4 linked regions of the Yarrowia lipolytica genome follow. The protein of the gene in region 3 interacts with the protein of the main gene of each other region in a pairwise test. Links are inferred from orthologs where the notes say so. Each region holds a gene or a part of one and is shown on either strand. Other genes may lie near its edges. The genes, in order: YALI1_F26915g, YALI1_B11519g, YALI1_A05821g and YALI1_D08715g.

Region 1 (2,745 bases), on a different chromosome or scaffold from region 3:
GAAGTGCGAGAAGTCCAAGGCTTCGCTCGAGAAGCAGATGGCCGTTAAGGACTACGAGACCAAGGTGCGAGCCGACGTCCAGGAGTCTAACACCAAGCGATTTGAGGCTCTGACCGCCGAGATCGAGGGTCTCAACTCCATGGTTGAGGACTTCAAGAAGCTTTCTGCTTAGGTGGATCTTGTAAATCTCTACTGAATGAATAATGTGTATTGTATTGTATGAGAGTGTAAAGGTAGTGTGAGTAAATATACGTGTGTGCATTAATATGAACTTGTAGAAGTAACTAAGAGACAGCTGTTGTATTTGTATGATTGATACCAAAAAAGTACAGTACATCCATACTTGTACTTGTACGTTGGATTCGTTATACGTGTCTTTGATCCTACTTCAACATGTCGATCCTTCTATAGAAATCCTACAGGCTCCTGCCCTACTATGTATCATTCAAGTGTGTCATAAACTACAGTACATCCTGTCATCCGCCCATTATTACGTGTCTTTTCATGTCTATCCATTAATAGGTATAAATTACCGATGCATTACTCCTGCCCAGCATCAATTCGAAGGCCCTCCTTAACACCCTTCTCAATCCGCTCTCTCATATCCAGAGCCACGTCTTCACATGCACGTGCGGCCTGCTCAAGCACCTCAAACAGTTGGTTCTCGGTGAACTCACCTTCACTCTCACACATCAACAGACCCGTGGCCTTGTTGTTCTCCACGAAATACGAAACAGCATGTGTAGACGTCGACTGAGACACCTGTTTTCGAGTGGGATGCAAAATGAGCTTATCGTCGACAATGGCAATGGCGACTGCTGTAAAAAGACCAGTCATGGGCGTTCTGCTGTCAATCAATGCCAGACACATGGCGTTCAGACATGCCGCTAGCTTGAGCACGTTGTATCCGGTTCCTTCACCCTGTTCAAGAATCTGAATCACAATCTGAAGCAACATGCGAGGGTACAAGTTTCGCACCACTGTGGCGGCCAAAACACTGTAGATTCGATCCTTAATCAGTGTCTCCCGGGTTGTGGCCTGTCCAATAGCAGGACGAATCACCAGCTCCACCTGAGCTAGTGTAGGTTCATCTGTCCGTCGCCGAGTTTCTATGGGACCCGTGACCGAGCAAATCACACTTGTTCCTTGCTCCCATTTGGCAGATCCATCCACATTGTTCAAAATGTTCATTTTGTGTGTGTTTTTGTATGCTGGTGATGGTTAATGGCAATATGGCATCCTCGAAATATTTCTTGCATATGAACTTTATCAGAGAGGTGATGATGACTAAGTGGTGTCTGAAAATTGAATCGGGGCAAACCTCTATTATTCACGTGAGTTGTATTATTTGTTGTCTCATGTGGGTTCTTATGGGCCCTGGAATCTTTTAATCCGGTCCTTATGTCTGTAGGTGTATACTGATAGCTCTGAGAGAGAACGGTAGCGATGACAAGTACAAACCAGTACCTACAGCTGCAAGAACCGTGGTAGTAGCAACCTACTACAATTAGTAGCTACAATTGTAGTCCAAGTAATAGTTACAATATTAACCATTTTATAGCACTAAATGATAGTGACTCCAAAACAAAAGACAAGGGCTCCTGAGTAAGTGGCTCGATAGTGTTATTATGTAACTACTGTATTGTACAATATCGTTCTCACTGTAGCAATGTTCCACCCACGCTCCCCACTATACAACCACCGCCAAACCCTGACTAACGATGCCGCACGATTGGAGCAAGGGCTGGTTGATTTCTAACTGGAATAGGCTCGTATTTTTCAATAGAGGGATGATGCAAGGATGCGGTTGTGATGTTAGCTCAAAGTGCTTGTAACTGAATATGCTTTTGTATAAAGGAGAAAAATTGTTTGTAATTGTGAAGAGACTGGTTTGGTAACCAAAATCACCTTTTCAGATTATTTTTTCATCTACGTAAACCAACAATACAAGAGTCCACACCTATCTTCAATAGCCGACTCTTTCTGAGTGGAATTTTTCCGGTCGTAAACTCTAATTTTAGCTTGGTGCACGGGACTGGAAACGAGAGCCAACTGAAATCATTTAAACAATAACAAGAGAAGGAAGACACCAACCTACTGCTCACCACCCATGTCCAACCACCTTTCCAGCGACTCGGATATCTCGTCAACGGAGTCCATGCTCTGTGGCGGCATTGCCGGCATGGTGTCGCGTTTTTGCATAGCTCCTCTGGACGTGGTCAAGATCAGACTACAACTGCAAAAAGATGGAAGTCGCTATTATCGGGGCATTTTTCAGACGATGCAACAGATTGTTCGTGACGAGGGTGTCACGGCGCTGTGGAAGGGAAATATTCCCGCAGAACTGCTGTATGTCTTCTATGGAGCTACCCAGTTTGTGACATACCACCATGTCAACCAGGTGATCAATGCCTACAACGAAACGGCAGAGAAATGGAAGATTTCGTCCGGTGCTCAGTCTTTTATCGCCGGAGCAACGGCAGGAGCAGGAGCTACTATCGCCACGTATCCTTTTGATCTGTTCAGAACACTGTTTGCAGCTCAGGGAGCCAAGAACTGCAACGTGAAAAACTACACGTCCCTGTTTCAGACCTTCAAACTCATCTACAAGACGGAAGGGCCCCTGGGATTCTTCAGAGGCGTATCCAGCAGCATCATCTCAATCGCACCCTACATGGGTCTGTTTTTTGCATCATATGGACGTGTCAAGGATTCATTGGATGCCTTTTCAAACAAACATCACGA
Region 2 (3,409 bases), on a different chromosome or scaffold from region 3:
TGGCCTGGGCACCCTGGATGATGGCCTTCATACCGGAGGCACAGACCTTGTTGACGGTGGTAGCGACAATGGTGTCAGGGAGACCAGCCTTGAGGGCAACCTGTCGAGCAGGGGCCTGTCCGACGCCGGCGGAGAGAACGTTACCGAAGATGATCTCGTCGACCTGGTCGGGCTTGATGTCGGTCTTGGCGAGTGCGGCTGGGTTAGTAATGGGAGCGAGGGACGCAAGTGTCCAAGGCACGGGTGTCACGAGCGGACGACTTGATCACATTGGCTAGCAGATGGGGAGTGACTGCCTATGCCGCGATGAATCATCAACACTAGCGAATTCGCGATCGGTCGATACAAATACACTACAACGACAGCCGCAACATGGCCATTGGGATCAGTCGACCAACGACATCACCAGTGGTCTTGGTCGCGATTGTGCCAAGTAGCACATCTGTCATCTTATCACAGCCATCAGCCGTTTCGGTGAAGTCACAGTATCGTGAAGCAAGTTGAGCAACAGTTGTTCGTCGCGCTGTGTTTGTACTGCTCGTTCGGTGCCGTTCCTGTGTCACTCGTTCGGAGTCACTGTTCAGAGTCGTGTTTCATCATGTGCATCCTGTGGTACTCACCCTTCACGGCATGGGCTCCCAGATCCACGTAGGTCTGGCCGCTCAGCGAGCTCAGAAAAGAACCAATGGGGGTTCGAGCAGTAGAAACAATGTAGACGGGCTCCATCTTGTTGGTGTTGTGTTGGTGAAGAGGATGCGTGTGCAAAGTGAGTTTAACGGTATAAGTATTCGTGGTGTGTGACGTGAGTGAGAGAGAGGGAACACGACGATGATCGGCTTTGTGGTGGGTGAAGCTGTGGTGGGATAAAGACACAAAAGAGACAGAGTCCAGGTATATATAGACGTACCCTCCCCCGCTCCTCCTCTGAATTAAGCCTACATCATCACAGCACAAAGCACACTGCCTCCCCAACAGCTCCAGCAGAATGATGCGATCTCGTTAAAGTTTGAGCCGATGGGAACGAGCTACCCGGAGAAAGCGAGGAGCGACCAGCCTCAGCGACGGCGACGTGTACCAATAGTGTTTGGCTGTTTTTTTTTTTTTTGTTTGTTGGTGGAATAAATGTCGGATCATGGATCAATGAGAGAAAAAAGCGGAACAATTACGAAAAAACAGAAGAATCAAGGAAACACTGCCAAGTAGACGGAATAACCAGGAGAAAATTCGTCAACAAACGGAATAATCAGGTAGGCGGCCGTACCTGTACATCCTTGGAACTCTCAACTACCCTCTACAGGGTAACATCGATTGGTAATAGAATTACTTGCATGGACATTTGATGGACAGCTGTTGAGGTGCGATGACGAGTGTGAATGCGATTTGAACGAACGGAGCGAGCATGAGACACTGTACAGTAATTGTACATGATGAACCCGAAAGGTGTGAGCGTGAGAGTGAGTGTGATACAAGTATGAGTGAGAGTACCTTGTACGGTCTCGTACTATATTCATGTCTACAACCACTCTAGAATCGCTCTTTTCTAATGTTTTTGTGCTTGCTAAGAGTCTCACTAAGCATAGAAAGACCCATGATATCGTACTCTGACCTGTCTCCTTCAACGATACCTACTTATAGTCTGGTCGTTCACTCCGTCTCAGAGGCTCCTTCATTGCTTAAGCTCGAGATCATGAAAAGTTGGAGGCGAGTCCTGGGAGTGAAATTCTTTTTTTTATTTTTATTTTTTATTTTTTATTTATCCTTCTTTTTTTGGAAAGGCCGTTTTTAATCGAGAAAAATCATTATAAATCGAATGAGCCGAAATCGACCCTCAGATGGTATTATCTTGGTATAAATAAAATCGTGATAAACACCAGAAACCAAACGAACTGCCGACTTTCTTGCTGCCCGCATAAACCCAAATATTTTTGTTCACTCCGATCCTCACACACCATGATTTCAATCAACGACAGAAAATTCCTGACGGAGGCGCTCAAGGTCAGCAAGCGACTCGACGGACGCAGCATGGAGGAGCAGCGCCCCATGGAGGTGACATTCGGGTCGCAGTTTGGCCATGTGGAACTCACCATGGGAAAAACCAAGGTGGTGGTTCGTATCTCGGCAGAAATCACAAAGCCGAACGAGCGACGGCCCTTCGAGGGCATCTTTGTCGTGCACACGGATATCGGGTCGATGGCATCCCCGATATTCGAAAACAACCACCAGAGCGAGCAGGAGATCATGATTTCGCAGGTGGTGGAGAAGGCTGTGCGTCGAAGCGGAGCTCTGGATCTCGAGTCCCTGTGTATTGTGGCAGGCAAGAAGTGCTGGGAGATTCGGGCGGACGTGCACTACCTGGACTTTGATGGCGGACTTGTAGACGCCACTTGTGCCGCTGTTATGGCAGGTCTGTACCATTTCAAGAAGCCCGACGTGGATGTGGATGGCGGAGCTGTGACCGTGTGTGACATGGAGGAACGCCATCCCGTGGCTCTGAGTGTGCTTCATCTACCTGTTTCTGTAACCTACGGCCTGTTTGAGCTCAAGAACGACGAGACCAACGAAGTTGAAAAGGTGGAGTGTGTTTTGGACTGCACTGCCATCGAGAGACAGGTTCAGAATGCCGAAATCACAATCACAATCAACAAAAACAGAGACATTTGCCAGATTAGCAAACCCAGTGGAGTGTCGATCGAGGGCTACCGAATAGTCGAGCTGTGTGAAAAGGCATTCCAGGAGGCGCTCAAGGTGACTGAGATGATTGACAAGGCGCTGAAGGAGGACGAGGAGATGCGAAACAAGGGAAATTGGAAGGCCTTGTTGAGTGCTGAGAACGACCGATACGAGAAGTAATCTAAGAGCCCAAGAGTCCAAGAGCACAGTGAAGTGATCATTCCCTGTACCAATCATGGTTTTGGATCTGGTTTTGGATCTGAGAACCAGCGCCTTCATATTGGATACACACCCTCACAGAGAGCATTCCTGACAGAGTGCTGACAATGATAACAAGGATAGGAGCTAGCAAAGGTTACTCCCCCTGCTGGTCTGCTCTACTTGTGCTAGAACGACATCCTCATCTAAAAGATAACTTCTAATAGGTAACGTATAGATAGATGCATTATGGATATTTACGGTAGACGGTGTGAAGCGCGAAGATGTAATTGAAGAATAGGTGCTACTAGCGAGTGTTAAGTGCTATGGGTACAAGCACCAGTTCGAGTGGCCAAAGGTATAGGAACATGCTCCTTGCAGAGTCCCAGTGAAAGGTGGAAGAGAGAGGTCGAGACCGTTTCGAGTGGCAGGGAGTGTGTAGATATAACATCATAGCACCTACAATGTGTTGTAGTAAGAGTTTGCCTGACAAATACTCTTTTGTACACAGTAAAAAGTACAATAAAAGCTCAGCGACTCG
Region 3 (3,168 bases):
AACTCCTAAAAGTCGAAGATCGATCATAACTGTTCGGTGGAAAGCACCTTTTCGACGCTTCCGGTTAGTATGAGTTGTTTACTTGCTTTCTAGTTAGTTGGTGTTTAGTTGACCTTTCCAACCAATCTCCCAGTCATTACTCAAACCTCCAACTATCAGCCTTCTACATTATTTGACCAAACAACCTCCCAAAACAAACTCCACGTTCATGTACCTTACGCGTCAGGGATGCGCTTCTCCAACTACACTTGACATCTACATCGACGACATTAATTCGTCATAGCTCCTTCTCAATGCCACCAAAAAAACAACAACAGGTCGTTCCCGACATGGGCGACACCGGTACTCTCAAGCAGCGCAAAGACCGCACCAACAGACTCTAGACGGCGTTCAGACAGGAAGAAGCAGACACAGCAGCTCATTTCCAGCAGTTCAACGAGAAGTTCAAGCGGGAAATTGCCCCTCATCCCCCCGCTCCCCGTTCCCGCATTTAAGCAATAGTGTGCAACTGCTGTGAATCTTCTGGTGCAGAAGCACGCTACACTGATGCCCCGATGACAACCCAAAAGACAGCAGTTTCAACAACCGTGGAACCAGCTGCTGGATAAAGCTGCCGCCACAGCAATTACGGTCTATGTCTTTCCGCGGGACAAGCCCTTTCATTTCAAGAACGCGCTTCAATACAGGTTCGATCGCAGAGAGTTGAAGAATCGCGCCAATATTCTTTATTTCGGCTCAAAAGGTGAGAAGTACCAGTTCTTCGACCTCCAACACAAAGTGATACGCGATCATTTCACCACCACGGCTCAGCCTGTTGCTGTCTCTGATGGCCTCACCTGGTGGTGTTCCCTTTTGTGGATCTGCAACAGCCAGGGATCTTCTTCTCCAGAAGAGACAAGACTGTTATGGTCGCAAATGTGAGTGGTTACGGAGACCTGAACAACCATTTCCGTCAGTGTGAAAAGCCAGGTCTAGGCCGCTTCCTGTTGAGGAACTTCATGGAGGGAGTGTTAGTGATTGATCTTGCCAGCACCACTGCTACCAATGTGTTTACTCCTAAAAAGGATCAGAGGAATCCTGACATCGTTATGGGGTTTGTCGACGACAAGTTTGTGGCCAAGTTCGTTGACAGCAAAACCATGAAGAGATACGAGCAGGAGAAGCTATGGAAGACCAAGACCATAGAAAGTGAGGGGAATAGGTGCCGCGATTATTATGATAGCATGAGGGTGCATGTTTTCTACTCGCAGAAAATATCCTGTCAGCTGGTATGAAAGGCAGGTGGATTGGAGATGGAGGTAATGCAGTTCTTGGTAGTAAAATGCTCTCAACAACCATCTCAATTGCACCAAGGAAGATACGGAAACAAAATCCATATCACAGGTATTACACCCAGGTATTATCACTACTATCCAAATCAATGGCCTAACTATTCCACTTCCCAACTATCTAACTAAACTCAACTATTTATTTACCAAACTAACATAAGCATCAGAAAAAAAACACGCATCAAGTACGCTCATAAGCAGCCAAATGTGACAAAAAATCCATATAAAATATCTCTAAAACACCCGCCTAGACAAATTCCACCATTTGTAATCCCATATCTCCACTATATCTCTCCATATCGCGACCCCTCCCGTTCCACCCGCCTCCAATGACTTCCGGGTAACCCAACCTTAAAAAATTACTACCATGCATAATCATCACAGCATGGCTGAATCGAACATAAACCCCATACAAAAGGACATTTTACAGCACACAAAAACATGATCCCCGGATTCGTTACACCTGGAATTTTAATATCTCTCGTTGTCGACCGAGACGGCAACAAGTTTTACCCCGGAATCGGCACGGCTGTTCGAGTTGTGGAAGGTTCCGAGGCCAAGGTTGCTGGCAAGTCGCAGGCCAAGGCCATTGTCGCCACAGCTACGGGAAAGGTGGTGCTGAGCGAACGACAGGAGAGCGCGGAGCACAACGACAAGTCACGTGATACCAAGGGCTCATGCTACACGGTCAACATTGTGAAGAAGACCAAGGGTGACGATTCATCTTCAACTACACCTACTACATCCCATGTGTCGCCCTCGGCTTCGTCGGGACTGCCCAAGGTTGGCGATTACATTCTTGCACGAGTTTCAAAGCTCACGTCGAAACAGGCCAACGTGGAGATTCTGGTGGTGGAGGGCCAGGGAGGAGTGGGCCAGGACGCGGGTTTGGGACTCAATGGCAACGAGAACGGTATCCACAGCAACCCTCTGTCAAATGCGGGCTCTTTGGTGGAAGGCGCTATTCGATCAGATCTCGGTGAGGGCTTCGGTGGTATCATTCGGTCCATTGATGTGCGAGCCACCGAGCGAGACAAGGTCAAAATGGAGCTGTGTTTCAAGCCCGGTGATATCGTGCGAGCACAGGTCATTTCTCTCGGAGATGGTGCCAACTACTACCTTTCTACAGCCAAGAACGAGCTCGGAGTTCTGTTCGCTCGATCGAAAATCGGAGAGTTGATGTACGCTACCGACTGGCAGACCATGGCCTGTCCTGTGACTGGCCTGACGGAAGAGAGAAAGTGCGCTTCTCCTTATAAGCAGGAGGTCAAGGCTGAGGTCAAAGAGGAGGCCAAGTAGGTATATAGGTATTGCATGTGGTGTATCGTATGGTACACCTTTTTTGATGGAACTGGAGATACTAATCTGTCAGATACAGTATATACTGTACCATTCAATTTAATATATAGAAGGTTCGTTTCTCATGGTTAAGAATGATACCACTAGCCATGCTTGGGGTTTGTCTTTAGGATCCGTGTAACCAGACCCTCTCCGATACGCCTCATGGTACAACTTGAAGTACTGTACTGTACAGTACTCCTTTTTGTCATATCTGTTGCCAGGACGCCTCTTATGCCATCAAACTTGCCCTTCTTGTAGTAGATGGACGGCTTCTTTCCATGATGTCTGATTTTGAGCTCGTGCTTGATCAGTTCCATATCGGAGTCTTCATTGTTGTCTGCGTCAGTGGAGGAAACGTCGCAGTCGGAGGAATATCGCCTACAAATAGAACCACAATCCAGTTCTGCAAGTCCTGCTCCTTGTTCTTCTGGTAGACCAACTCAACGTCGCAGTCAATGTTTGTAAACTTGTGGGGATCATCAACAAAACAACTCTGAGA
Region 4 (3,419 bases), on a different chromosome or scaffold from region 3:
CCTGTCGTACATTTTTTTGAGAAATGTTCCGTCGTTCTGGTTGGAAATGTGTAGAGCTCAAACCTGTCTTTTTATAACGGCTTTGATCGGATATCATGATACAATCAGAATAAACAACGCATGCTGAACCGACTGGTGCGATAGTCTGGTTCGAACCAGCTTCATAGGCAGAATCTGAACGTGTACGGTATCTCAAAAAGCCAGCCGAAATGGTGTCGTCTGAAATGTGTAATAAAAATATCTTATCTATGTATACAGAGGTTCTATCATTGGCTATTCTCTTCAGAGGCTCGCGTCTACTCGTATTAGAGAGATGAGTGTCATGACGGGCAGGTTCTCCTTGGTGAGGTTCTCAATGTCGAGTTCCCATGTCGAGTTCCCATGACAAATCCCTTTTGCGAGTCCTTTTGCGAGTTTTTTTGCGAGTCCTTTTGCGAGTCCTTTTGCGAGTCCTTTTACGTGCCGTTTGCGAATTCCCACAGTGACATTTGCCCCAATCGAAGACCATCCGATATCCCTCCGTCGTTCATCTCCCTCTCTCTACACCTCGCCCCTGATGCTATGTTACTTTCTCTCGAGTCTATGCTTACCATGCTTTCTAACGGCGGCGTCCATAATGTCCTGGATGGCGTGTGCCCCGCTCAGCGAGGTGGCGAGCACGGGTTCCAGCGACGCCATGGGCAGCTGTGTCTCGAGCGTCAGCATTGAGATCTTGTCAGATTTGCCAATGACGCCAATCGTCAGAAACGGCACGTCTTGCTCCTCCAGGGTGTTGAGATCAATCAGAGCGTTGTTAGAGTAGACGCCGGAAGAACAGGCAGACACATAGTCGGTGAGAGGCACGCCGGCATCGATCATGGCCAGGCAGGCGGCGTTGATGCAGGCAGGAAGAAGCCCGCCATCCTGGGCAATGACGGTGATATTGACGGCAATCTGGGTTCGGGGGTTGAGTTTGGTCAGCACCGCCTCCTCCAGCAGCTGGCGAATGAGAATGTTCATTTCCGCGAGCCGCTTGTCGTTGCGTTGCCGCTTGATCCGCGTCTCTGTGCTGAACGAGGCCACATTGACATTGACACTGATGACCGCCCGGTCAGTGGTGTTCTGGCGGTTGTCGGGCTCTCGAGGTCCGTCCACGGTGCAAACCACCTTGGTGTGGCCCCACTCGACGTACGACGAGCCGTCGGCCGAGGTCGGGTGGGTGTTGATTTTGCAGTCAAAGTTCCGGATCTCGTTCCACCGTCGTCCGTCGGTTCGCAGACCTTCGGGGGAGTATATTTCGTGGCGAGACTGGGTTAGTGGTGAAGAATATGAAGGCAAAAGTGCCCTGTGTGTCTGATCCAAAGTGCCTGTGTCTGATCCTAAGCGCCCGCGTCTGATCCAAAATGAATCACAATTTGCAGACGTGTCAGAGAGTTCCCAAACGAACATTGAGATGCTGAAAACCAGCAATTGTCAGATGTCAAAGTCGTCAGATTACAGTCGTTTGAAAAACGTCCGCAAATGCCTGGGAGGATCGATCTGATTTCTTTCACGACGCATAGATGGTCGGAGGCGTTAGGGCGGCTGCGCCTTTCCTCATATTCCCTCCCCCCTTCCCTCCTCACATCCTCCTCGAACTCACCATTATGTGCTGTTGGGTAGCAATTGGTGTATTGATTTTCGATATTTATTTCTTCATGCAGAAAGGCAAATCTAAGGCGTGCGCAGAACAACATGGCCAGGAATTGAACTGGCCCACTACAACAGAAAACCCCCCGTTCGAACCGCACCAATACGCATTTTGCTCGCTATTCCCACTTCAACCCCAACAGCACATGCCACCGTTCTGCACCCCTCACATCTGTCATGTACACCGTTGGCCGGTGCAGCAGCATGTCTTTCCTTATCGCACGTCCAGCGTCTGGTGGCGGAGCTATCTCTCTCTACGATACAGTAGGGTAGGGAGGACTGGCACTTCCTCCACCTGGCACGAGAACAATCCAACAGCATCATCTGGTCCCGTCCGGTCCAGAAGGCGCGTGTTTACACCCAAAAGTGGAGCTTTACACTGCCGGTTTGTGCCGTATACGGTTTTGCTGTGTGTCAACATGTTTCGTTGCCATTTTTTACACTGGTCCCAATTTTTTGATACATTTTTTCCATGTTGCAAACAAGGCTTGGGACCGGGTCCGCGGGAGGACTCGTGTGTGTTGACTGCCTATTCGGGAAACTCGGGACATTTGAGCCACAAACCCTGAAGCTGAAAGACACACGGTCTATCGGTCTATCGCAGCAGTCCTACTTGTAGGTCCAACATGGATCCCTACAGCTTGAAAAATAGGCTTAGTTTTTTTTAAATTTTCAAATTTTCTTTAGTTTTTTTTTTTTTTGGTCTACGCTTCGGGGAGCACTTTGGCTTCAGAAAAACTGGGTGGTTGAAGGATGCGGCTGGGGAGGACCAGTGACGGCGGTGGGGAGGAGTTGGGGCCGTCTAGGAGGAGATTTTTTGGTGGACACGCTGATTCCGGTTGGAAAAACACCACTTGGACGTGTGTCTCGACGGTGGTTCGGCCTGTCCATGGTCCTCTTGTGGCGGGTCTCTGACGGGCCATGTCTCACTACAATTTCCCACCACCGCCGGATAAGCTCCGTCGACTAAGGTTCAATAGAAATTTTATTGGTGAGTCTAGCAGAGTGCAGGGTCAAAAGACAGATCGCATTTGCTGCTGCAGTCTCTTCGCATTAGCAGCTCTTTCTCCTCCCCCACACCCTCATCCCACCACCCTATGAACCCGGAGACCCCACTGGCGTCCCCCTTCCACAGCTCCTCTTCATACTGAGATTCGGTTCGCCTCACCTGGGGCGTAACATCCAAAGACACCGGGTAGCATAGAGTCATAGTCATCGACCTATCTCTCATCACACCACACTCAAGGCAAGTCCAACACAGATCAACCGTTGTATAAAGCCGAGATCCACTTGCCAACTCGACACGTTCACAGATCGCCTGGCCCATCGCTCGACTCATTGCTCGGCTCTGTTTATCTTTCTTTTCACTCAACGAAGCACATCATCGGTCAGTCTGAGAACGACGCTCCCAAAGACGAACGTGACACAACCACAAAGGATATAAAGACGCACATCCCCCACGGCCAGTCCTTCACCTATCGATCCACAACCCACAGCCACAAAACCAACGCCCCCCGCATTTAGCTACAAGGCTTTTACAGCTACAGCTACAGCTACTCTAGAAGCTCGCCAACTACTACTTCACCATGACCACTGACACTCTCAAAGACTCGCTCAAGGACGTGCTCTACGGCTCCGTTGCCGGCGCCACAGGAAAGGTTTTTGAGTACCCGTTTGACACCGTCAAGGTGCGACTGCAGTCCCAGAGTGACGTCAACCCGCAGTTCAAGGGTCCGCTGGACTGTTTCAAG

What was found.
Region 1: the proteins of YALI1_A05821g (region 3) and YALI1_F26915g interact in binary tests that used the Saccharomyces cerevisiae proteins (3 or more experiments, as listed by UniProt). The link is inferred for Yarrowia lipolytica from reciprocal best matches to the Saccharomyces cerevisiae genes CSL4 and RRP46.
Region 2: the proteins of YALI1_A05821g (region 3) and YALI1_B11519g interact in binary tests that used the Saccharomyces cerevisiae proteins (3 or more experiments, as listed by UniProt). The link is inferred for Yarrowia lipolytica from reciprocal best matches to the Saccharomyces cerevisiae genes CSL4 and RRP45.
Region 4: the proteins of YALI1_A05821g (region 3) and YALI1_D08715g interact in binary tests that used the Saccharomyces cerevisiae proteins (3 or more experiments, as listed by UniProt). The link is inferred for Yarrowia lipolytica from reciprocal best matches to the Saccharomyces cerevisiae genes CSL4 and SKI6.

Annotation. Positions count from the first base shown.
Region 1 is NC_090775.1:2,690,337-2,693,081, forward strand, and holds YALI1_F26915g (uncharacterized protein), read right to left. Parts: upstream 1,192-2,745; coding exon 541-1,191; downstream 1-540. Other genes in the region: YALI1_F26873g (uncharacterized protein), read left to right, coding at 1-172; YALI1_F26924g (uncharacterized protein), read left to right, coding at 2,111-2,745. UniProt on the Saccharomyces cerevisiae protein: Non-catalytic component of the RNA exosome complex which has 3'->5' exoribonuclease activity and participates in a multitude of cellular RNA processing and degradation events.
Region 2 is NC_090771.1:1,150,534-1,153,942, reverse strand, and holds YALI1_B11519g (uncharacterized protein), read left to right. Parts: upstream 1-1,950; coding exon 1,951-2,850; downstream 2,851-3,409. Other genes in the region: YALI1_B11532g (uncharacterized protein), read right to left, coding at 1-198, 621-726. UniProt on the Saccharomyces cerevisiae protein: Non-catalytic component of the RNA exosome complex which has 3'->5' exoribonuclease activity and participates in a multitude of cellular RNA processing and degradation events.
Region 3 is NC_090770.1:580,409-583,576, forward strand, and holds YALI1_A05821g (uncharacterized protein), read left to right. Parts: upstream 1-1,769; coding exon 1,770-2,627; downstream 2,628-3,168. Other genes in the region: YALI1_A05813g (uncharacterized protein), read left to right, coding at 906-1,274; YALI1_A05836g (uncharacterized protein), read right to left, coding at 2,977-3,168.
Region 4 is NC_090773.1:870,155-873,573, forward strand, and holds YALI1_D08715g (uncharacterized protein), read right to left. Parts: upstream 1,429-3,419; coding exon 565-1,428; downstream 1-564. Other genes in the region: YALI1_D08734g (uncharacterized protein), read left to right, coding at 3,255-3,419. UniProt on the Saccharomyces cerevisiae protein: Non-catalytic component of the RNA exosome complex which has 3'->5' exoribonuclease activity and participates in a multitude of cellular RNA processing and degradation events.